Struthio camelus: one gene and its partners. The protein of the gene in region 2 purifies or fractionates together with the protein of the main gene of each other region. This does not show direct contact. Links are inferred from orthologs where the notes say so. Each region holds a gene or a part of one and is shown on either strand. Other genes may lie near its edges. The genes, in order: TOP2A, CTCF and RPL28.

Evidence for each region.
Region 1: the proteins of CTCF (region 2) and TOP2A purify together in Homo sapiens (affinity purification with mass spectrometry; 3 studies listed by BioGRID and IntAct, with this or other methods). This does not show direct contact. The link is inferred for Struthio camelus from reciprocal best matches to the Homo sapiens genes CTCF and TOP2A.
Region 3: the proteins of CTCF (region 2) and RPL28 purify together in Homo sapiens (affinity purification with mass spectrometry; 3 studies listed by BioGRID and IntAct, with this or other methods). This does not show direct contact. The link is inferred for Struthio camelus from reciprocal best matches to the Homo sapiens genes CTCF and RPL28.

The regions. Positions count from the first base shown.
Region 1 is NC_090966.1:6,950,968-6,958,339, reverse strand, and holds the start of TOP2A (DNA topoisomerase 2-alpha), read left to right. Parts: upstream 1-4,283; 5' UTR 4,284-4,384; coding exon 4,385-4,417; intron 4,418-5,010; coding exon 5,011-5,157; intron 5,158-5,354; coding exon 5,355-5,445; intron 5,446-5,955; coding exon 5,956-6,019; intron 6,020-6,584; coding exon 6,585-6,730; intron 6,731-7,200; coding exon 7,201-7,298; intron 7,299-7,372. Other genes in the region: collagen alpha-1(XVIII) chain-like, read left to right, coding at 507-534, 672-724, 823-957, 1,088-1,150, 1,238-1,303, 1,471-1,539, 1,883-2,077, 2,205-2,317 and 1 more. UniProt on the Homo sapiens protein: Key decatenating enzyme that alters DNA topology by binding to two double-stranded DNA molecules, generating a double-stranded break in one of the strands, passing the intact strand through the broken strand, and religating the broken strand.
Region 2 is NC_090951.1:26,295,353-26,302,952, reverse strand, and holds the start of CTCF (transcriptional repressor CTCF), read right to left. Parts: upstream 3,048-7,600; 5' UTR 3,033-3,047; coding exon 2,979-3,032; intron 1-2,978.
Region 3 is NW_027182594.1:51,628-59,492, reverse strand, and holds the start of RPL28 (large ribosomal subunit protein eL28), read right to left. Parts: upstream 3,003-7,865; 5' UTR 2,899-3,002; intron 1,276-2,898; 5' UTR 1,271-1,275; coding exon 1,190-1,270; intron 664-1,189; coding exon 540-663; intron 441-539; coding exon 322-440; intron 88-321; coding exon 1-87. Other genes in the region: germ cell-specific gene 1-like protein, read left to right, coding at 6,654-6,969, 7,766-7,813.

The DNA of each region.
Region 1 (7,372 bases), on a different chromosome or scaffold from region 2:
CTGGGCCAAGGGGCCCCGGCCCGGCCCCGCCACCCGTCTCGGCCCCGGCCCCACGAGGCTCGTGCATCCCCCTCCGTGCACCGGGATCACTGCTCGTGCATCCCCCTCCGTGCACCGGGACTGCCGCTCGTGCATCCCCCTCCGTGCACCGGGACCGCCGGCTCATGCATCCCCCTCCGTGCACCGGGATCACTGCTCGTGCATCCCCCTCCGTGCACCGGGATCACTGCTCATGCATCCCCCTCCGTGCACCGGGATCACTGCTCGTGCATCCCCCTCCGTGCACTGGGACTGCCGCTCGTGCATCCCCCTCCGTGCACCGGGATCACTGCTCGTGCATCCCCCTCCGTGCACCGGGATCACTGCTTGTGCATCCCCCTCCGTGCACCGGGACTGCCGCTCGTGCATCCCCCTCCGTGCACCGGGACCGCCGGGCCGGGCGCTGCGCGGGGAAGGGGGGGCCGCATGCCCGGCGCTGCAGTAACAAACCCCGTCGGCTTTTGCAGGCAGCCGCCGCCGCAGCCTGGCCAGCGGGTAAGGGCATTTCCCGGGCGTTTTGGGTGGGCTCCGGCCTCCTCGGAAGCAGGGCCGTGGGGCGGGCAGCGCCGGACCCCCCCCCCGCCGGCGTGCCGGGCTGCGCGCTGACCCCGGCCCCTCTCCGGCCCCTCCAGACGCTGACGCCTCTCGGACGGAGCCGCCGGACCCCCGCGGCGCGGACCTCCGGGTGCGTCCCAGTGCCCTCGAGGCGGGGGCGAGGGACGGGGCCGCCCCGCGCCCAGGCGCCGGCTCATGCACCTCTGCACCCCCCCCGCCCTCGCTCAGCGCCAGACGTGGGTGTTCGGGTCCAAGGAGCTGATGCTGAAGGCGGGCTCGGCCGTGCCCGAGGGCAGCCTGGTCTACGTGCGCCAAGGGAGCAGCGCCTTCCTGCGGACGCCGCGGGGCTGGAGCAGACTCCTGGTACTGAGCGGGTACCCGAAGGGCGCCGGGCTCCAGCCCCAGCAGCCGCCTCTGGATTTGGCCCCGGAGCAGCCCGGCGAAGGCAGCGGCTTCCCCTCTGACCAGCCCCTCGGCTTCTCGCTTTGAGCAGCTGGAGGATTCGGAGGCGCTCTTCGCCGGCGACGACCCCTCTGCGTCTCCCCCCGGCCCCCAGGTGAGGGCTGCGGGCGGCGAGCGGGTCGGGGGCACGGCGTCCTCCGCGGACGCGCCAGCCCCGCGCTCGCTCCTCTCCGCCCGGGAGGCGAAGCAGCTGCAGGCGAAAGGTCCCGACACGGAGCCGCCCGCCGTGGCGCCGGCGGCCTCGCAGGTGAGCGCCGCGCCGCAGGGACAAGCGTCCCTCCCCGGAGCGCTGGCCGGGCGCCCGCCGAGCCGGCAGCCGGGGCGCCGCAGCAGGCGGGGGGACTCCGGCAGGGCAGCGTGGCTCTGTGCCCGGCATGGCTGAGCCGGAGACCGACGTGACCCACCTTCCCCCAGGCCCACAAGGAGGAGGGACCGGGGACGCCCGGGATGCTGCCGACCGCCGTGGCCCCCAGGGTCCCTTCGGTAAGAGCTGTCCCGCTTCCCGGCCCCTTCCCGGCCCCCCGGGAGCTGGCGCCGGGTCGCCCAGCTGCAGGAGAGGTGGGAGAGGTGCCCCGGGGTCCCTCCGTGTCCTGCCGGGAAAGGCAACGCTTTCTGTCCAGGGAAAACCCTCTGCGTCCTGCTGGGAAATGCCCTCCGTGTCCTGCCGGGAAAGGCAGGGCTTGGTGCCGGGGCGGGGGGGAATCCCACCGCCGGGGCAGCCGGAGGGTCAAGCGCTCGGGGCGGAGGAGCAGAGACCCGGCAGCCGGGCGAGGGAGCAGGACGGGCGCCGGGGGCCGCCGGCTCAGGCGGTGCCCGGCCTCCCCAGCTCCGTCTGGCAGCCTTGAACGCGCCCCTCTCCGGGGACATGAGCGGCATCCGGGGCGCCGACCTGCAGTGCTACCGGCAGTCCCAGGAGGCCCGGCTCTACGGCACCTTCCGGGCGTTCCTCTCGGCCCCCACCCAGGACCTGGTCTCCATCGTCAAGCGGACGGACAGGACGCTGCCCGTCGTCAACCTCAAGGCAGGTAGCCCCGCGCCCCAGCTGCCGCCCCGGCCGGGGGCGACGGGCTGAGGCGGCATCCGCCGGGCACTGGGCACCGTCCTTGTCCGAAACGCCACCCCGCCACCACCGCCGCTCGCGCTTGCAGGGGCAGCTGCTGGCCAAGAGCTGGAGCTCCCTCTTTGAGGGCCAGGCCGGCGCCACTCGGCGCGTCCCCATCTACACCTTCGACGGACGTGACGTCCTCAGCCATCCCCTGTGGTGAGCGGGGCTGGCACGGCGGGTCCCCCAAAGGTGTCCTCCTTCACCTCCACCACCACCACCACCACCACCACTACCACCACCCTCCACGGGTCTGGTGCAGCAGGTCCCCCAAAGGTGTCCTCCTCCATCCCCACCACCATCACCACCACCACCACCACCCTCCATGGGTCTGGTGCAGCAGGTCCCCCAAAGGTGTCCTCCTCCATCCCCACCACCACCACCACCACCCTCCACGGGTCTGGTGCAGCAGGTCCCCCAAAGGTGTCCTCCTCCATCCCCACCACCATCACCACCACCACCACCACCACCACCACCATCCTCCACGGGGCCAGCACAGCAGGTCCCCCAAAGGTGTCCTCCTCCATCCCCACCACCATCACCACCACCACCACCCCCACCACCCTCCACGGGGCCGGCACAGCGGGTCCCCTCAAAGGTGTCCTCCTCCACCCCCACCCCCACCACCATCCTCCGCCAGGCCGGCGCGTGCCGGGGCCGGCCGTGAGGAGACGGTGCTGTGTCCGCAGGCCCCATCGGCTGGCCTGGCATGGCTCCGACCCTCGCGGCGGCTCGGCTCGCGGCCGGCACTGCTACGGTTGGCGGCGCTCCGGCTCGGCCCAGGGGCTGGCGGCCCCCCTGGGTCGGGGCGAGCTGCTGGCTGGGCAGCGCTACAACTGCTCCGAAGTCCTGGCCGTGCTGTGCGTGGAGGTGGCCTTCCCCTACCGGCACATGTGGTGAGCGAGGAGCCGGCCGAGGCCCCGCCGGAGGCTCCGCGCTGCCGCCGGGATGGCCGCCGCGGGGTGCTCGGCCATCCCCCCTTCCCACCCTCCCCGAACCCTCGCTCCTCGTCCCCTGCGCATCCCCGCTGGTCCCCCCGCCCTGCCCCGCGTGTCCATCTGCATCCCGGACCCCACGGCGCAGCCGATGCTGCCATCCCACCCTCCCCCCGGAAATAAACTTTAAATAAATGAATGGGAGGGTCGGTGTTTGGGATGGTGCCCCCCTACCCCACCCCGGGCACGGAGCGGGACGTGCTTTCCCGTTCGGCCGAAGCGGAGCGTCACAGCCTGGAAAGCAGCTGGGCTCTGGGCTTGTTTGCGAGACATGTCGGGGGCGTGTTTGTACACACACACACATATATATACACATATGTTAAAAAAATATATATGTATATATATATATTTGGGTCCCCCCCAATATATATATACACACACATATAGAGGGACCTCCTCCAAGGGTCTGTGTCCCAGCATGTCCCCAAGGCCTGCCCAGTATGTCCCAGTGTGTCCCTAGGGTCTGCCCAGTGTGTCACTATGTCCCCACTGTGTCCCCAGGACCTCTCCCGGTGGGTCTCCAAGGCCTGCCCAATATGTCACTATGTCCCCCTGACCTGCCCAATGTGTCACTGTGTCCCCATGACCTGCCCAGCTGTCCCCAAGGGCCTGCCCACTGTGTCCCAGTGTGTCCCAGTGTGCCCAGTGTGCCTCCTTGACCTGCCCACTGGGTCCCAGAGTGTCCCAGTGTCCCCACGACCTGCCCACTGGGTCTCACTGTGTCCCACTGTGTCCCTATGACCTACCCAGTGTGTCCCTGTGTGTCCCCAGGGCCTGCCCCCTGTGTCCCAGTGTGTCCCACTGTGTCCCAGTGTGTCCCCAGAGCCTGCCCAGTGCCCCCAGGCACCACCCCAGCAGGGCTGGCCGGGGAAGCCCCGTAGCTGGGCCCCGTCACCCAGGCAACCGCGACCCCGCCGGCGTGCCCTAGGGACGCAGCCTCGCCGCCACCTCCCTCCCTTGCTTCTCTATTGGCCGAGATTAGTGCCCGTCATCCAGATGTCCCTTGTGAGTGGCGAGATTTGAACGGCTCCCGCCTTCCCCCCGGCCGGAGTGGCTGGTTTGAAAGAGCGGGGAGCGTTGTGACTGGCTAGGGGAGGTGGGCGGGCGGGGCCTGTGTCCCCGCCTTCGCCCTGCGATTGGCGGGCCGGTTTCGGCGGGCTGAGCGGAGGTTTGAAACGCGCCCGGAGCGGTTAGCGGGCCGCCATCGCCGCCTCTCAGCGCTGCCGCCGCCATGGAACTCGAGGAGTCCCCGTCGCCCCTCCGAGTGCGTGCGGCCGCCGTCCTCTCAGGGCTGCGGGATCTCCCATCCCCTCAGATTCCCCCCCGGGGCCCCTCAAACCCCATCAGATCCCCCCAATTCCCCTCAGATCCCCCCCCGGGGCCCCTCGGATCCCGTCAGATCTCCCCCTAGTTCTCTTCAGATCCGCCCCCGGGGCCCCTCAGATCCCCCCCCGGGGCCCCCCAATTCCCCTCAGATCCCCCCCCCGGGGCCCCTCGGATCCCGTCAGATCTCCCCCTAGTTCCCTTCAGATCCGCCCCCGGGGCCCCTCAGATCCCCCCCCCGGGGCCCCCCAATTCCCCTCAGATCCCCCCCCCGGGGCCCCTCGGACCCCGTCAGATCTCCCCCCCCGGTGACCCCCAATTCCCCTCAGGTTGCCCCCCAGTTCCCCTCAGATCCCCCCCCGGGGCCCCCCAATTCCCCTCAGATCCCCCCCCATCTCCTCATGTCGCCCCTCAGGATCCTCCGCCAGGCTCGTCTCGGGGTCCCCCGCCGCCCCTCTCCCCTTCCACGGCCCCCTCCCGCCGCCGTGGCCGGTCCCCGCTCCCCTCACGGCCCTTGTCTCCCTCCCCGAGCAGCCCCTGGACGAGAACCCGCGGGTGCCCAAGGGCGACGGCGCCAAGAAGCGGCTCTCGGTAGAGCGGATCTACCAGAAGAAGACGCAGCTGGAGCACATCCTGCTCCGGCCCGACACCTACATCGGCTCCGTGGAGCTGGTGACCCAGGTGCGCCGGGGCTGGGAGCACCCCGGGGCTAAGCAGCACCCAGCACCGGGGGGGGGGGGGGGGGGGCGTTAACATGGCCCTCCAGCTAAGTGGGAATCAGTGCTGGGTGCCTCTGCCTTACACCCTGATGGCAGGGAACATGAGGGAAACCTGAAAAACACTTGGGGATGTATGTGTTTTTTTTACTTTCTTTTCAGCAAATGTGGGTTTTTGATGAGGATGTGGGCCTTAACTGCAGAGATGTGACCTATGTGCCTGGCTTGTACAAAATCTTTGATGAGATTCTAGGTGAGCTGTGGGATATCTATTGGACTAGTGATTAGCAAGTTTGTTTGTTTTTTTAAGTTATTTCTGGGTGCTGAAGGTGTAAGAGACCCTTGAACTAAAATTAAGAACTTGGCAAATGTACTTTTTTCCAGTTGACCAAGTAATGTCCTTTGCATAATCCGATGGATGGTGTTCACAGAGTATATCGTTTGTTGACTGTGCTTCAAAATGTTGGATACTAATGTTCTGCCTGGTCTTAATTTCCATTAGTGCCACTAAAGTGTAAGCCATTCTTGGGATGATGGCACTATATATTATAAAGCCAATTCCATTCAGCCCCAGATTCTCCCTTTTATGTTATCCTGTAGTGCTCATCTCTATAACTTGCAAAATCTTTGCCTATCAAGATGATTACTAGTAGCATCTTGTCTTCAATTTTTGTATTCGTTCTACTGAAAGCACTTTATAGTTAATATTTTCTGTCTTGATTGAAAGTGTAATATGCTAAAAATAACAATCTTTCTATTCTAGTCAATGCTGCAGACAACAAGCAGAGGGATAAAAACATGTCATGCATTAAAATTACAATTGATCCGTAAGTTTTATTTCATTTTTTCAGTGTCTTCCCAGTTCACGTATGTTAGATTTTCTTCTTCAGATACTGTTCTGTTAGGCTGGTGTTAGGCAATAGAGAGCTCTTTGCAGAGGCACATTCAAGTTGAACCAAATGTAACTCCTGGAGCTCCACAGCTGCCAACTTGTGTAGCATTATTGACCAATTACAAAAGCCTTTATCTTCTTTAGGTCTCTTGCTCTCTTAGAGCGTTGGCTTGTGAAATCATTGCTTTTACTTCCCCCCCCCCCCCCCCCCCCCCGCCTTGTGGTCGTTTTCTCCTTTCCTTCTTCTCAAATTTTTTATTCTGTTCTTGAGCACAGATTATTTTTGTATGTAACTATTCATATTATAGATGGTATCTGCAGATCTGAGGCTGAAGGTTTTTTTTTTTTGGACTTGTCCTCCCTCTGCTGGCTGTTTTTACACTTGCCGAACATAAATTTACTTTTGATGAAACGGTGGCCTTCTACCATTGATTTTGTATAGCATTTATTTCATAGCTCAGTCATTTCCAGCCTTAAAGACACACTCTCTTCTCCCCCAGAGAGAATAACACGATCAGTGTATGGAACAATGGGAAAGGTATTCCAGTTGTTGAACACAAAGTGGAGAAGGTCTATGTGCCTGCTCTTATTTTTGGACAGCTATTAACCTCAAGCAACTATGATGATGATGAAAAGAAAGTCACAGGTAGGGAAGTCTCTAAATTAAGTGCTAATATTTTTGTGCTGCCTGATCAGCTTAAATGTGTGAACTGAATTACCCAGTGTGAGTGAGCAGTAGCTAGCAGGTTTCATCAAGACTGCTTGTTCTGAATAAAGGTGACACTAACTGGTCCCTTGCTGTTCTCCTTGTTAAGAAAAAGAAGTGATGTTGATGCAGCATAAAAATGGAATCCCTGAGTGTATCAGAGGGACGTTTCCATGCTGTATTTTATAATAAAAATGGTACAGTCATGGAGAACAGGAGGAATTCCCTTTGAAAACTAATTCCCATTAAATATGGGTATATAGTCATGTGCTAAGTTTGTAGGATATTGTCATTCATGGTGAGTCGTACTTTGACAGTGCTGAAGGGACTGAATTCTTGTTAGTCTGGAATTCTTTTAGATGGTTTTGAACAAATGTAACAACATAGATCTGTTTGCGTTACAATTCCAGGTGGTCGAAATGGTTATGGAGCCAAACTGTGCAACATATTTAGCACAAAATTTACTGTAGAAACTGCATGTCGTGAATACAAAAAATTATTTAAGCAGGTATGGACACTTTCTTTAATTCTGTTTTCTCATTTCAGTAAGGTTGTACTTGAGATTCTCAAATAAGAGCCTAC
Region 2 (7,600 bases):
TGGAGCCCCCTCAGATTGTCCCATCCTCCAGATTGTCCCATCCTACCATCTACAGAGGACACACTTCAGTGAAATCAATTTCACTCAAGCATCATGCAACCCTTTCGGTCACAGTACCCACCCGTCTGTGGTCACCTTCCTGTTTAAGACAGATGTAACTTAATTGTAATCAGAAACACACACTGTGCTATTCAGTTAGTCTTTAATTGAGAAACAAGGTTACCTGTTACTTATGCTTACATTTTGGGCCAGGTGTTATCAAAATTAATCTGGTCAGAACCACGTCCAAATCTATTTACCCCTTCCCCTTCATTATGAACTCCCCAAGAACACAGTCAATTCATCTCCCGGGCTTCAAGGCATTCCTTACCCACAACTGCCTTGGTGTTGAAGCAGAATTCCAGTGCATCCCAATGACACTTCAAATGCCTATACTTTGCAAGAAGACATCTCCAAACGATCGTTAACACACAAAATCTCTCTAGCTGCTGCCCCTGCCCAGGGATCTTGCCAGTTCTCTTTCAAACATTGAATTCACCATGCCTCATGAGATAAAGTGATGAGAAACTTCAGCCAACACTGATACCCATTTTTCAGTCAGAGAGTAGCACAAACCAGTTATTTTTTGCAATTACTTAGAAAAAGTTGACCTGCTCATTTGGACCAAGAACACAGAGGAAAGGCTTTGCAAGACATGAAATTAGAGTATATATTGGGTCTACAAGCAAGACAGAGGAATTTTAACTCCATGTCTTTCCTCAGCAGTTTGTAGAACAAGCCTTTTTTTATTCCTTTCAACCAGCAGTGGCAAGAGACCCCAGAATCACAGACCTTCCAGAAAAGGTACGGGTAATTCTGCTGTAATAAGCAGTAGCATGTAATGGACATGAAAACATAATACAATTAAGGTGAATCGCTTGAGATCTGTGTTGTTAAAAACTGCTGCAGTTACTGATAACAAATCTCACACTTTCAAGTCCCTTGGGCTGTAACTCCTAACTTCAAATGGCAAGCCTTAAAGAAAGCAGTCTGATGGAAGCATTTCAGCATTTTTTATTTCTGGAAGTTCAATATATTTTAGCTTCAGAAATACTAAGTTTTCCTTGTTTTTCCTGAAGATTTAGAGATCTGAGCTGTTATGTAAAAGACGTATAAAAAAAATGTACAACTAAGTTACATAAGAATGTTAAGTAGACAGAGAAGGAAGGAGAAATTAAGGAGGAACTGAATAAGCATGAAAACTCTATTTCTTTCAACAACTGATACTGCAGTCTCCTTAGACCAAATTAGTTCTTCAGTCATACGCACACTTCTCCAATGAAAATGGGGAAATGTGAGCTAAACATTCCCATATCACCTATTTCTAGGATTTTTTCCCCTTTTTAATGTATTAAGAATGTTTTCCTAACCCTACAGTTCATTTCTGAAAGACAAATATGGGACTTTAAAAGCCTTCTATATTTTACACGTTAAATTTTAAAAGTAGCAGGCAGAGAAGAATTCATTTTCAGATGATTAATAGTCAAAGCTAGACCATAAACTTGCTCAAAGCCTTCCTCTTATAGTACTCCATAATATAAGAGAGATGGAGGAAGCTCACAGACCACCACTGGAAATGTGGCCTGTGAAAGCCATTGCCGCAAGAGGCAAAGCCTAATATTGCAGACAGATTTCGAAAAAGGTTAATAGTTTTATGAACAAGAATTTGTGCTCATTCTTCCTTGCACGTTAACTCAGACTTACATTTAGAACATTAGCACACTTAAAAGCAAATAAAAACATCCCTATCTTCAAAATAAATCTGATATAGTAGGATTCATTGGCCAACTGATGCATGATGTCAAAATGGCACCAGATATTACCACACTTGGAAAAAGGTCAGTGCAGCAAGTTTCATGGCATTCTGTAAACTCTGTAACAGGGTAAAAGTATGTGGAATTTTTTCCTCTAAGGCTTCATCTAGATGAACAAATACCCTAGTATAAACTGCTGGGGAAAAGCTATTCCTTTTACCTTTACATAGACACTTATTAAGTAGTGATACTTTGCCTTTCCAAGGGATTTCAGGCTTCAAATCACAGGGCAGGAAGCGTTAACCCCTGGGATGGTAGCATGGTTCCTGCTCCTGTATGAACAGCATAGCTGCTCATGCAGTAACTACTAATCGCTCCACAAATTGATGCGGTAAGGGAAACCAAAGTCAGTGTCAGTTGGCTTAATGTCAGGATGTCAACTGTAAAGATAGAGTTTGCCGCCCTTGCAACGGGGGCAGGAAATTCCAGGATAGTTTTGGAAACACCTATGGGAGGAGGGTGGTGGACAAGGTAGAAACTCCTCAAGCCTAAAGCAAGTCATGCTTGCTCTTGAGTCATAGACCTTAGGGAAGTTCATCTGAATTAATAAACCCTGGAACTGAAATAAACAAAATCAAACCCACATCAATCCTGAACAGTAGCACTCATGCTGCAGTTTTAGGTAGTATAATCCATTTTATGCACATATCCATTTGGACTCATGTTCCAAATATTCTTCTACAACCAAGCCGCAGGAGTGCCATTACAATCAACCATCAAAATCTATGAAGCAAAAGTTACACAAAGACACTCATCTTGGGGGGGGGGGGGGGAAGCCTTTCTACCAGCAGTTAGTTCAGTGTGTTTGAAAGTAAAGCCTAAGTCTGGCAAAGAAACCATCCTCTGCCTTTGCACTGCTCGTTTGTTCCCACCTGCATCCCTCCAACTATTTTTCATGTTGGCACAATCATGTCTAAGACTGCAGGAAACTAATTCAGACCAGAACTCACCCAGCCAAAAGATACTTATTTCCATCCAGACCAGTTCTCCAGTGTGGCTGCTCAGGCCAGCCAAAGGAGCGGCAAGACAGGACAGCTTCTTCCAGCACAGGGCTAGCCTTAAGTGTCTGTGAAACTACTGCCTCAGCATGGAATGCTTACCACACTTTGAAACCCCTTAATTTACATTTGCGTTCCTGAAGCTTCTGCACTTCTGCCTGGACTGATTTGTTCTCTTCATTCTGGCTATTCTTCATACAGCTCTTGATGTCAGAACACACACTCTGGAACAAAACAGGTTAGTAGTACTAGTAAAACTATATACAAAAAGAAAGGAAAGAGGGGGGAAAAAACACGTTTGAACGTTTAATCGAAAGTGCCTAGTTCTACAGCTCTATGATGAGTAGCATGGTAATTGCTTGAGGGCTCCTTCACTTATCAAATAAGCCTTAAACAAAACCAAAACTTGTATGAGTATTTTAAATCCGCTTTCATGATTTTTACCAGGAAGAGTGAACTCAGGTGTTACAAACTCCTCTCTACTTTTTTCTCAGACTCTTCAGCACATATAGTTCTCGGAACCTGAAATTCTGTATGTTTAATGTCAAATTAAGGCTGCAACGTGACTTTTTAGAACTGGTTATGCCTATTTCCCTCCTATGCTGGGAAATACCAAATCACAATAAAGAAGCAATTTTTATTGTCAAAGGAGTGTAAATTAGAGCAAGTACAACCTGTCACATACTGCCAAGGTAGCAAGTAATAACACTATCAATGAAGTAACAAAGTCATCTCTAACACACTTCTAACTTTGTTACCGTGAGGAGGAACCACCTCAGCTAACTGAAGAATTGCTAAGTTAACTTCATTACTGTAAGCAACCAAAGACTTAAAATATGCAGATTTACAGAACTAAATTATTTACAAAACAGCCCATTATTTCTCATCATTAATCCTGCTCAGGCCTCAGTGTGCATACATGCCAAAAATCCTGAGAACAGTAAGCAACTCCACAGGATTAATTCTGGAGCGAGGCACGTATTCTTGCTCCACTCAGCAAAGCTGGCCAAACAGTGTTGAATTTCATACTGGTTCTATGCCCTTTCAATTTAGATACTACTTTTTCCCTGGTTCTTCTGTCATTTATTTATTTAATTTTATTTACTACAAAGTGCTTAAGTCTTGGTTCTGACAGCAATTTTTCATCGACAAATCTATTTTTAATTGTTCAAAGAGCAGCAAAGATTTAATCGTTCAGCAAAGATGTCAAACTTGGTAGAGCTGTGGATGCTGAGCACTAGTGAAGTAATAGGATTAAAAAAATTTTTTGGAATTGATCTCTCTGTAGTCTACATATATGCAATAAAATCACATGTGCTATATGCATTCAGCAACCAGGAAAGGGGACACTTGGAGGATACATAGGGAGCTCAACTGCTATCGGCACAGTATAAATGCTATGAAGAAGTGCATCCTTGCCAGGTCCTGCGCTCATGAGAGCCTGCACACAGTGACAGGCATATAAAATAGTTACTATTACTAGCTGAGTTTTTATTCCTGAGCCTTACCCCAGCAAAAGACTACTTCCTAAAACTTAAAAACTTGAAAATTAACACAGGAAAGGCTCATAGTGAGCAACTTCTACATTCAGAAGACACTTGAGAAAAAGCTGCCAACTCCTATATAAACTGTGTTGTCTTAAAATTTTCATCATTGGGTTTATTGCCAGGACTCTTAAATAGGACACATTTAATTCAATATAAGCATCCTTACATCTATTGTTATTCTTTCATCCTAAATTTTGTTTTTCTTGAAATTCAATTAAAAAAATCTTTTCTTCAGTTTTTTCAAAACCAAACCTTCAGCTTGGCAAATGACTTAACAGTGGGGAGATCTCCATTTTGAATAAATGGTGTATCCACCATAGCCTCTTAAGTAGGAGAAAAGAATAACTGAACAATAGTAATTGTAGTTATTTTCTACACTGTAGATATCGCAAACGTGGAACAGCATTTTACAGGGACGTTTGCACATTTTGACTGTATGGTAGATGCAAAGCACAATCATCCTTCTCTCTCCACAAGGTATCGATTCTCCTTAAGGAAATGCATCACTGGAATTCTGAAGAGAATTGTTTGCTCTAAGCAGCTCAGACACCACTCTCAGAACCTCAAATTACTAATATGCTATACTTCTGGGAAACTTTGGTCCTCAGATTAAGGTACACGTTTCAGAAGGGCAAGTCATACCTGCTTTCACCTACTCCATAGTACTATCCAAGGAGGGGGGGGGGGGGGGCGAACCTCATTCTTACTCTTCTTTATTTGAAAGGTAAGCCTACTTCCATTACAGCAACCAGGATTTTTTCCCCATAAAATACCTCCCATTAAATTTAGTTTTCCCATTCAGATTTTTCACGTGTATGATAAGCCTGAATGAAACAGCACTAGGTTGGAAATAAAATTGCTCCACATGCCCACTTTGGAGTTCCTTAGTACAAGACAGACATTGACACACACTGGACAGAGCCCAGTAGAGGGCCACCAAGATGACGGGGGCTAGAGCACTTGTTGTGAATTGGCATAGTTAGCTTTGAGAAGGCTGAGGGGAATTTCTTACTACTGCCTTCAGCTAGCTAAAGAGAGGGTACGGAGAAGATGAAACCAAACTCTTGGAGACACACAGTGAAAGGAAAAGATGCAACAGGCTAGTTACATCAAGGAAAATTCTGATTCGATACTAGGAAAAACACTTTTCCACAATGAGAGTGGTCAAACATTGGAACAGGTTGCTTAGAGCAGGAACTCCAACCTTGCAGATGTTTTAAAAAAAAAAAAAAAAAAAAAGAGGCTGCTACATACAACCCTAAAAACCTTATCCAATTTCAAAGTTGGCCCTGCTTTGAACTGGGGGCTGAAACCAAAATACCGCAAGAGGACCCTCCCAACCCAAATTATGTTATGATCTCTGGCATGAGACTTTACAAAAAATTAAGGATATACTTAACATTCAAACACAGAGCAACAGATTTCATTTATACAATTATACCTACAAAGCTCTTGGGGCAGAGGGATTTCTTACTCCCAAGCAAGTTCTAGAGGACCTGGAATACTTTTGCAAGATCTCAAACAATGATCAGTTCTTTACTGTGTGTTGTTAATGTATATAAGGACAGTCACCCTTGGCAATTTACCTAGTGACCTACACTTTCAGAGAGATGAATATAAGCCTTCTGGCATTTAATGTGAGAGAGCAGCATTACAAGAGCAGAGGCTTAGTACATCACTGTTTATGAGATACAAAAACATGTGTGATATGAAGTCAAAGAAGGGCTGTCCAAAGACCAGCATCAGACAAGAGCTCCTATATGAAGTTAAGATAGAAGAGGCAGAAGCAATACTGACTAGTGACCTCACTTTGTTTAGACATGGAGAAAACCAATGACTATGACCAGTAATTCCACATTATTAAAAAGAAAAATCTGTCTTTGGAGAACCAAGGACTAAGGTGTGCTCTTTTCTCCAGAATCACATCAAGAGCTTACATCTTGAATGCCAGCGGGTGGCTGAAAAGACCCCTTAGCTGTCAGCAAGAGGCAGCCTGTTTGGAGAAGCAGCTCTGGGACAAGAACAAACGGTAACACATCATGCCGACCAACAACTTCACAGGATCAAGTACCTCTAACGAAGGAGAATCTCACTAATATCACAGCAGGATAAACATTCAAGGCTATCTCCCTTCTTTTAATCCAGGGGAGTTGGAGAAGAAAACATGTTCTGCAAGGATTTGCTTGCATGAGCCACTCGGGACAGGTGCATCCAAAAACATTACAAACGTCATCTCAGGCAAGTCAGCCATCAGAATATTTGCTCCATCACACCTCCACAGAAGCTGCCAAATTCTCTTTCACATAGGTCAAAACACTGGTAGAGCAGGCAGAGAACACAACTGCTTCAAGAGGACAAACAATTATTTCCACACACACAAAAGGCAGCCGAGAATAAACTACTCTGGGCTCATATACGCTCTAGTAGCTCAAAGAGCTAACAGAGCAGAAAGAAGTCAATATTAGTCATTCCTGAGCAAGAAGGAGGGGAGAACATTAACATGGAAGGTAGCGAAGGATCAAATAATCAAGGAGTATCTTTTGAGTATTATGGCTTCCTGGGGCAGTACTGAGATCTCTCTTCAGAGATCAATAAGGGCAGTAAGTTATAACGTTGAATAACACTAACTTCTTTCATCCTCCAAAAAGAATGTTTTAATGATCTGATAAACTTAGACTCAAACTACAACCTTCAAAAAACTGATCCTTTTACAACCTGTAATCAGAAAACTCCTTGAGTGACTCTAATAGGTTCTCGCATAATAAATAGGGAGGGTAAATCTAAAGTTCATATTCACATTTGTACCTCCACTACAAATAATTTAGCAAAAAGAAGTTGAAAGCTACTGTTTCAAAGTGCAGAATTATCACACTTCAGTACAGAATGCAAAAGAGTGGCCATTTTAATACAGTAGCATTTCCTGTTTTCATTTTAAATCCCTGGATGTTAGAGGTGGTTACAAGAAGTCAGCTTTGCAAACTGAACACAACAAGATAGGGAAACTAGAAAAACAGGTTAAGTAATTTGCCCCAAATCACCGAAGGCTCCATGGCAGTACAAATCACTTACAGGGTCCAGTCCAGGGCCCTTTTTATTGGACCTAACATCATCCAGAGAACAAAGATGTTTCTTTCAAGAAAGTAAAAATTACAAACTGAACAATGGAAGAACTGAATTCATTTGAAGATTTTAAATATATTTG
Region 3 (7,865 bases), on a different chromosome or scaffold from region 2:
GGGGGCCTTGGCGGCGCGAACCCGCTTCTTCTTCACCACCACCGGCTTCTGGCTGCGCAGGATGGCGCTGGCGCGGCGCAGGGCGGCCTGGGGACACCGCGGGGTGGGGGGGGGACACGGTCAGCGCGGGGCGGGGGGGGGGGAACGACACACGGGGACGGGACCCCCCCCCCTCCTCGTGGGGCTGAGCCCCATGCCACCACCCCCCCCCACCCTCCAAATCCTGCTCAGCGCAAGGACCCGGTTCCCCCGCGGCTCCGTGGCCCCCCCCCCACGAGCCGAGCGCCCCCCGGCGAGGGGCCCAGGCGTCCGGGCGCTCACCATGCGCAGGTCCTTGCGGTACTTGTTCTTGCGGATGATGTGGCGCAGGCTGCTGAGCGTGGCCCGGGCGTTCTTGTTGACGGTGATGCGGTCGTAGGAGGTGGCCGGTTTGCGCTGCCCTGGCGGGGGGGGGGACAGGCACAGAGCGGTCAGGGCCGGCGCGGGGGGGGCTGCGGCGTGTGGTTTTTTTGGGGGGGGGTCGCGGGGACGGGGCCCACCTGCCCGCTTCTTGAGCACCACCACGACGCCTTTGCCGTCGGCCGCCGGCTCCACCCCGACCGTCTTGCGGTGGACGAGGCCGTTGTAGCGGAAGGAGTTGCGCGCCTTGAGGTTGTTCGGCTCCTGCGGGGGGGGGGACACGCTGGGGGGGGGCCCGGACACCTGGGTCCCCTCATCCTGTCCCATCTGGGTCACTATGGGGGGGGGGCCGGACGCCTGGGTCCGCTCGTCCCGTCTGGGTCACTATGGGGGGGGGGGGGGCCGGACGCCTGGGTCCGCTCGTCCCGTCTGGGTCACTATGGGGGGGGGGGGGGGGGGGCCGGACGCCTGGGTCCGCTCGTCCCGTCTGGGTCACTATGGGAGGGGGGCCGGATGCCTGGGCCTTCCCCGTCCACCCCATCTAGGCCATCATATTGGGGGGGGGCCGGACGCCTGGGCCCTACCCTATCCCATCTGGATCATTGGGGGGGGGGGGCAGACACCTGGGCCCCCTTGCAGCCCATCTAGGTCACTGTGGGGGGGCCCGGACGCCTGGGCCCCTCCCCTCCGGGCTCAGCCATTGTTTGGGGGGGGGGGGGGCTCCCGGGTCCATCCCCCACCGGGGGGAGGGGGGACACAGCCGGGCCCCCCCCGCGCCCCCCCCACTCACGGTGCTGTAGGTCTGGTTGTTCCTCTTGATGAGGAAGCTGGAGCAGTTGCGCACGATCATCCACTGCAGGTGGGACGACATGGCGCCTGGGGGCAGCGAGAGCCCCCTCAGCCCCCGGCCCGGATCCCCCCCCAGCCCCCCCGGAGCCCCCCCCAGGCCCTGATCCCCACCCCGGACCCCGATCTCCCCCCCAGGCCCTGATCCCCCCACCAGAGCCCCCCCTCTAGGTCCCAATCTACCCTCCCAGACCCTGATGCCCCCCACCCAGACCCCCCTCAGGCCCCGATCCCCCCCCAGAGCCCCCTCTCTGGGCCCCAATCTACCCTCCCAGACCCTGATCCCCCCCCTCCCCAATCCCCCTCAGGCCCCGATCCCCCCCCAGAGCCCCCTCTCTGGGCCCCAATCTACCCCCAATTCCCCTCCCAAGTCCCAACCCCTCCCCAAACCCCCCCCAGGCCCTGATCCCCCCCCAGGTCCCCCATAGGTCCCAATCTACCCTCCCAGACCCCGATTCCCCCCACCCAGATCCCCCTCAGGCCCCGATCCCCCCCCAGAGCCCCTTCTCTGGGCCCCAATCTACCCCCAATTCCCCTCCCAAGTCCCAACCCCTCCCCAAACCCCCCCCAGGCCCTGATCCCCCCCCCAGATCCCCCTCAGGCCCCGATCCCCCCCAGAGCCCCCTCTCTGGGCCCCAATCTACCCCCAATTCCCCTCCCAAGTCCCAACCCCTCCCCAAATCCCCCCCAGGCCCTGATCCCCCCCCCAGATCCCCCTCAGGCCCCGATCCCCCCCCAGAGCCCCCTCTCTGGGCCCCAATCTACCCCCAATTCCCCTCCCAAGTCCCGACCCCTCCCCAGATCCCCCCCAGGCTCCGATCTCCCCCCCAGGCCCTGATCCCCCCCCAGGCCCCAATCCCCCCCCAGCTCCCCCTCCCAAGCCCCAATTCCCTCCAGTTCCCCTCCCAAGCCCCGATCCCCCCCCCAATCTACCCCCTGGATCCCCTCCAGGCTCCGATCCCCCCATAGAGCTGCCCCCCAGGCCCCGATCTCCTCTCCCAGGCCCCGATCCCCCCCCCAGCTCCCCCTCTGGGCCTCAATCCTCCCCCCTAGATCTCCCCCGGGCCCCGTTCTCCCCCTCAAATTCTCCTCTAGGTGCTGATTCCTCTCCAAATGCCCCCCAGGTCCTGATCCCCCCCCTAGTTGCCCCCCCCAGGCCCCGATCCCTCCCCAAATCCCCCTCTGGGCCCTGATCCCCCCCTAAATCCCCCCCGGGCCCCGATCCCCCCTACAATTTACCCCCCAGATCCCCTCCCAGGCCCCGATCCCCCCCTCAATTTACCCCCCAGATCCCCCCCCCGGCCCGAATCCCCCCCAGATCCCCCCCCAGGCCCCGATCCCCCCCTAGACCCCCCCCCGGGCCCTGATCTCCCCCCAGATCCCCCCTCTGGGCCCCGATCCCCCCCTAGACCCCCCCCGGCCCCTGATCTCCCCCCAGATCCCCCCCCAGGCCCCGATCCCCCCCTAGACCCCCCCCCGGGCCCTGATCTCCCCCCAGACCCCCCCTCTGGGCCCCGATCCCCCCCCAAATTCCCCTCTAGGCCCCGATCCCTCTCCAAATCCCCCCCAGGCCCCGACCCCCCCCCAGTTGCCCCCCCAGGCCCCGATCCCCCCCCCACCCGGGCCCGGCCGGGCCGCAGCCACGCGCGCTACCTCCGCTCGCTGCCGCCGCCGGAAACGGAAGGAACGCGCGCGGGCGCCGGAACCCGCCTGCGCCCGGCGAGCCCCGCCCACCGCCCGGCGAGCCCCGCCCCCTGCCCGGCGAGCCCCGCCCCCCGCCCGCCTCCCGCGCTCGGCCGCCTCCGTCACCCCTCGGCCGTCTCCGTCACCGCTCGGGCCCCTTCGGCTCCTCTCGGCCATCTCCGTCACCGCTCGGCTACCTCCGTCACCGCTCGGCCATCTCCGTCACCGCTCGGCCGTCTCCGTCACCGCTCGGGCCCCTTCGGCTCCTCTCGGCCATCTCCGTCACCGCTCGGGCCCCTTCGGCTCCGCTCGGAGGCTCCCGGCGGAGTGGGCGGGGCTTCGGCGGCCGCCTGCCCGCCGGGTGGTTTTCGCGCCTCCCGCGCGAGGCGCCGGGGCCGTTGGGGGCCGTTGGGGGCGCGTGGGCGGCCGTTGGCGGCCGTTGGGGGCCGCCGGGGCCCCCCGGGAGCCGTGGGGAGCCCGGATCTGTCACCACCCTTCGCGGCCCCTCAGTGCTGGCTGCGGGGCGGCTGCATCCCCCCAGTCTGAGGAGGGGCAGGAGGGGCCATGGGGCAGGAGGGGGGGCCGTGGGGCAGGAGGGGGACGTGGAGCAGCAGGAGGCTGTGGGGCAGGAGGGGGGATGTGGGCCCGTGGGGCAGGAGGGGGGGCCATGGGGCAGGGGAAGGGGCCGTGGGGCAGGAGGGGGCTGTGGGGCAGGGGAAGGGGCCGTGGGGCAGGAGGCCATGGGGCAGGAGGGGGGCTGTGGGGCAGAAGGGGGGCCGTGGGGCAGGAGGGGGGCCGTGGGGCAGGGGAAGGGGCCGTGGGGCAGGAGGGGGGCTGTGGGGCAGGAGGGGGGATGTGGGGCAGGAGGGGGCTGTGGGGCAGGAGGCCATGGGGCAGGAGGGGGGCCGTGGGGCAGGAGGCCATGGGGCAGGAGGGGGGCCGTGGAGCAGGAGGGGGGCTGTGGGGCAGGAGGCCATGGGGCAGGAGGCCATGGGGCAGGAGGGGGGCTGTGGGGCAGGGGAAGGGGCTGTGGGGCAGGAGGCCATGGGGCAGGAGGGGGGCTGTGGGGCAGGGGAAGGGGCCGTGGGGCAGGAGGGGGGCCGTGGGGCAGGAGGAGGGGTGTGGGGCAGGAGGGGGGCCGTGGGGCAGGAGGCCATGGGGCAGGAGGGGGGCCGTGGGGCAGGAGGCCATGGGGCAGGGGAAGGGGCCGTGGGGCAGGAGGCCATGGGGCAGGGGAAGGGGCCGTGGGGCAGGAGGGGGGCTGTGGGGCAGGAGGGGGGCTGTGGGGCAGGAAGGGGGCCGTGGGGCAGGAGGCCATGGGGCAGGAGGGGGGCCGTGGGGCAGGAGGGGGGCTGTGGGGCAGGAGGGGGGCTGTGGGGCAGGAAGGGGGCCGTGGGGCAGGAGGCCATGGGGCAGGAGGGGGGCTGTGGGGCAGGAGGGGGGCCGTGGGGCAGGGGGTGGGTCCCTCCGCCGCTCGCTGCCTCGGGCTGTTATCGATGGGGGAGAGGAAGCAGCCGACAGGGGGGATCGATAGGGCTGGCGGGGGGGGGGGGGGACGGGACTGGGAGGGGCGGGGGGGGGCGTGGGGCCCTGGGAGGCGCCGTGGGGCGCAGTGGCCATGGGGCCGTGGGGCGCGCTGGCCCTGCTGGCCCTGCTGGGGGCCGGGGGGGCCCCCTTCGAGCTGCAGGAGGCGCTGCGGGCGCTGCGGGGCGAGAACGCCCGGCTGCAGGGCGCCGTCTCCAACCTGAGCCAGGCCCTGGGCCGGCTGCGCGCCCGCCTGCGGGACCCCCGGGGTGAGCCGAGCCCCCCCCCCCCGCGCTCCGTGCGCCCCCCACCCACCCACCCACCCCGGCTCTTCTCCCCACAGATCCCGCCTGGACCCCGGAGCCGCCGCCGCCGCCCTGCCGCCTGGCCCCCGCCTCGGCCGCCCCCGCCTCGGCCGCCCCCTGCCCGCCGCTCCTGGGGGGGGCCCTCGCCCTGGGGGCCGCCGCAGCCCGCCGGGCCCTGCCCTGAGGCCGCGCCGGGGCGGGGGTCCTCCCCCCGCGCCCCGCCGGACCCCCTCGAGCGCCCCCCCGCCTCCTCACCTTCCTCGAGCACCCAGGACCCCCCCCCACCGCCGCCGCCGCCGTGACCGGCTCGGGACCCGCCACCCTGCCGGTAGGTGCTGGGGGGGCGCGGGAGACGGCGGCGGGGGGGGGACTGGGGGTGTCCGGGGTGGTCTCCTCCCTCCCTCCCGGAGGGTCCCTGCCGAAATGGGGGGTCGGGGTGGGGGCTCGGATGCGGCCGGGGCTCGTTAGGTGGGCGAGCGATCGGGGCCCCCCCCCGAATCCTGCCCTGGGCTGGAGCTGGTCCTCAGCCCCCCGGAGCCCCCCTCAGACCCCCAGAGCCCCCAGGAGCCCCCCTCAGCCCCCCGGAGCTCCCCATAGCCCCCCTTAGCCCCCCTCAGCCCCCCAGAGCCCCCAGGCGCCCCCCTTAGCCCCCTGGAGCCCCCCTCAGCCCCCCAGAGCCCCCCCTCAGCCCCCTAGACCCTTCCCCGTTCCTGCTAATTAGCAGGCGCAGTTAACCGCGTGGGGAATGTGGGTCGCTCGATGGCTCTTTCCACCGCCCCGAGCGCTGCCTCTGCTCCGGCTCCCACAATGCCCCAGGGGAACCAATTTGAGGGGGGGGGGGGGCCAGGCATCCGGGCCCTCACTCCCGAGCCGGGCGGGGACCCAGGCGTCCGGGCCCTCGCTGCCACCGAGCTGGGTGGGGGCCCAGGCGTCCGGGCCCTCACTCCCGAGCCAGACAGGGGCCCAGGCGTCCGGGCCCTCGCTGCCACCGAGCTGGGTGGGGGCCCAGGCGTCCGGGCGCTCACTATGGAGCCAGACGGGGGCCCAGGCGTCCGGGTGCTTGCTGCCACCGAGCCAGATGGGGGCCCAGGCGTCCGGGCGCTCGCTCCCGAGCCAGATGGGGGCCCAGGCGTCCGGGCGCTCGCTCCCGAGCCAGATGGGGGCCCAGGCGTCCGGGCGCTCGCTCCCGAGCCGGGCGGGGGCCCAGGCGTCCGGGTCCTCGCTGCGAAGCCAGATGGGGGCCCAGGCGTCTGGGTCCTCGCTCCCGAGCCAGATGGGGGCCCAGGCGTCCGGGCGCTCACTCCCGAGCCGAGCGGGAGCCCAGGCGTCTGGGTCCTCGCTCCCGAGCCGGGCAGGGGCCCAGGCGTCCGGGCGCTCGCTGCAGAGCCAGATGGGGGCCCAGGCGTCCGGGCGCTCGCTCCCGAGCCGGGCGGGGGCCCAGGCGTCCGGGTCCTCGCTGCGGAGCCAGATGGGGGCCCAGGCGTCCGGGCCCTGGCCGGGCTCCAGCAGGGCTGTAATTCCCTGGCCGCGGCTCCGGCCCCGGAGGCGAAGCAGCTCCCGGAGGCACCAGCTGGACCCTAATCCCCCCCGCCTCCCCCCACCCCAACGCAGGGACCCAGGCGTGCGGGGAGCCGCCGGCGGGGGTCCCGAGCGTCCCTGCTCCGGCCCCCCCAGCCCTGGCGCTGCGGGCGGGGGGAGCCCCGGCGTCCGGGCCGAGCCCGCGTCCCCCCGCGACGCCCCGGGGGATCCTTGCAGCCGCTTTTCCTCCCTGCTTCCCCCCCGCCGGCAGCGTCGCGGGCAGGATTAAGCCCCGCGCGGCCGGGGGGGGCGGGGGGAGCGGGAGAGCAGCAGCGGGGACGAGGAGGAGGAGGAGGAGAAGGGAGGACGGCGAGGGGCATGGCGCCGGGGGGCGCGGGGGGCCGCCGGCGCGCGGCCCTGGCGCTGGGGCTGGCGGCCCTGGCGCTGGGGCTGGCGCTGCTGGCGCTCGGCACCAGCTACTGGTGCCAGGGCCGGCACAGGGTGGCCAAGGCGGCGTGCCCGCGGGGGACGCGGCGCGGGGCCTGCGCCGGAGCCCGCGCCGCCCCCGGGGACCCCCGCGCCGCCTCTGGGGACCCCCGCGCCGCCCCCGGCGCCTGGGAGAGCGGCGACGACAAGTTCGTCTTCCGCTACTTCCACGCCGGCTTCTGGCTCTCCTGCGAGGAGCACCCTGACGGTAGGGCCCCCCCGCCCGCCCCCGGGGACCCCCGGGTGCCCTACGAGACCCCTGGGCCGCCCTGCGGGACCCCTGGGTGCCCTACGAGACCCCTCGCTGCCGTTTGGGGACCCCCGGGTGCCCTACGAGACCCCTGGGCTGCCCTGCGGGACCCCTGGGTGCCCTACGAGACCCCTCGCTGCCATTTGGGGACCCCTGGGTGCCCTACGAGACCCCTCACTGCCGTTTGGGGACCCCTGGGCCGCCCTGCGGGACCCCTGGGTGCCCTACGAGACCCCTCGCTGCCATTTGGGGACCCCTGGGCTGCCCTGTGGGACCCCTGGGTGCCCTACAAGACCCCTTGCTGCCATTTGGGGATCCCCGTGTGCCCTACGAGACCCCCTCGCTGCCCTGTGGGGACCCCCGGGTGCCCTAAGAGACCCCTCGCTGCCCTGTGAGGACCCTCGGGTGCCCTACGAGACCCCTGGGCTGCCCTGTGGGACCCCTGGGTGCCCTGCAAGAGCCCTGGGCTGCCCTGTGAGGACCCCCGGGTGCCCTATGAGACTCCTTGCTGCCCTGTGGGGACCCCTGGGTGCCCTACGAGAACCTTGGTCGCCATTTGGGGGACCCCTGGGTGCTCTCCAGAGCCCCTGGGTGCCCTGTGAGGACCCCTGGGCTGCCCTGCAGGGCCCTGGGTGCTCTGTGGGACCCCTGGGTGCCCTGTGGGGGCCCTTGGGTGCTCTGTGGCACCTCTAGGTGCCCTGCGGGGCCCCGGGTGCCCCGCGGCCATGCCACCCCGCTCTCGCTCTGTGCCCAGGCGAGGTCTGCAGGAGCTTCGTCCAGCTGCCCCCCGAGTCGGAGAAAGGTGAAACCCCCCCACGGCACCACGGGGACCCCCCCTTGGGACCCCCAACACC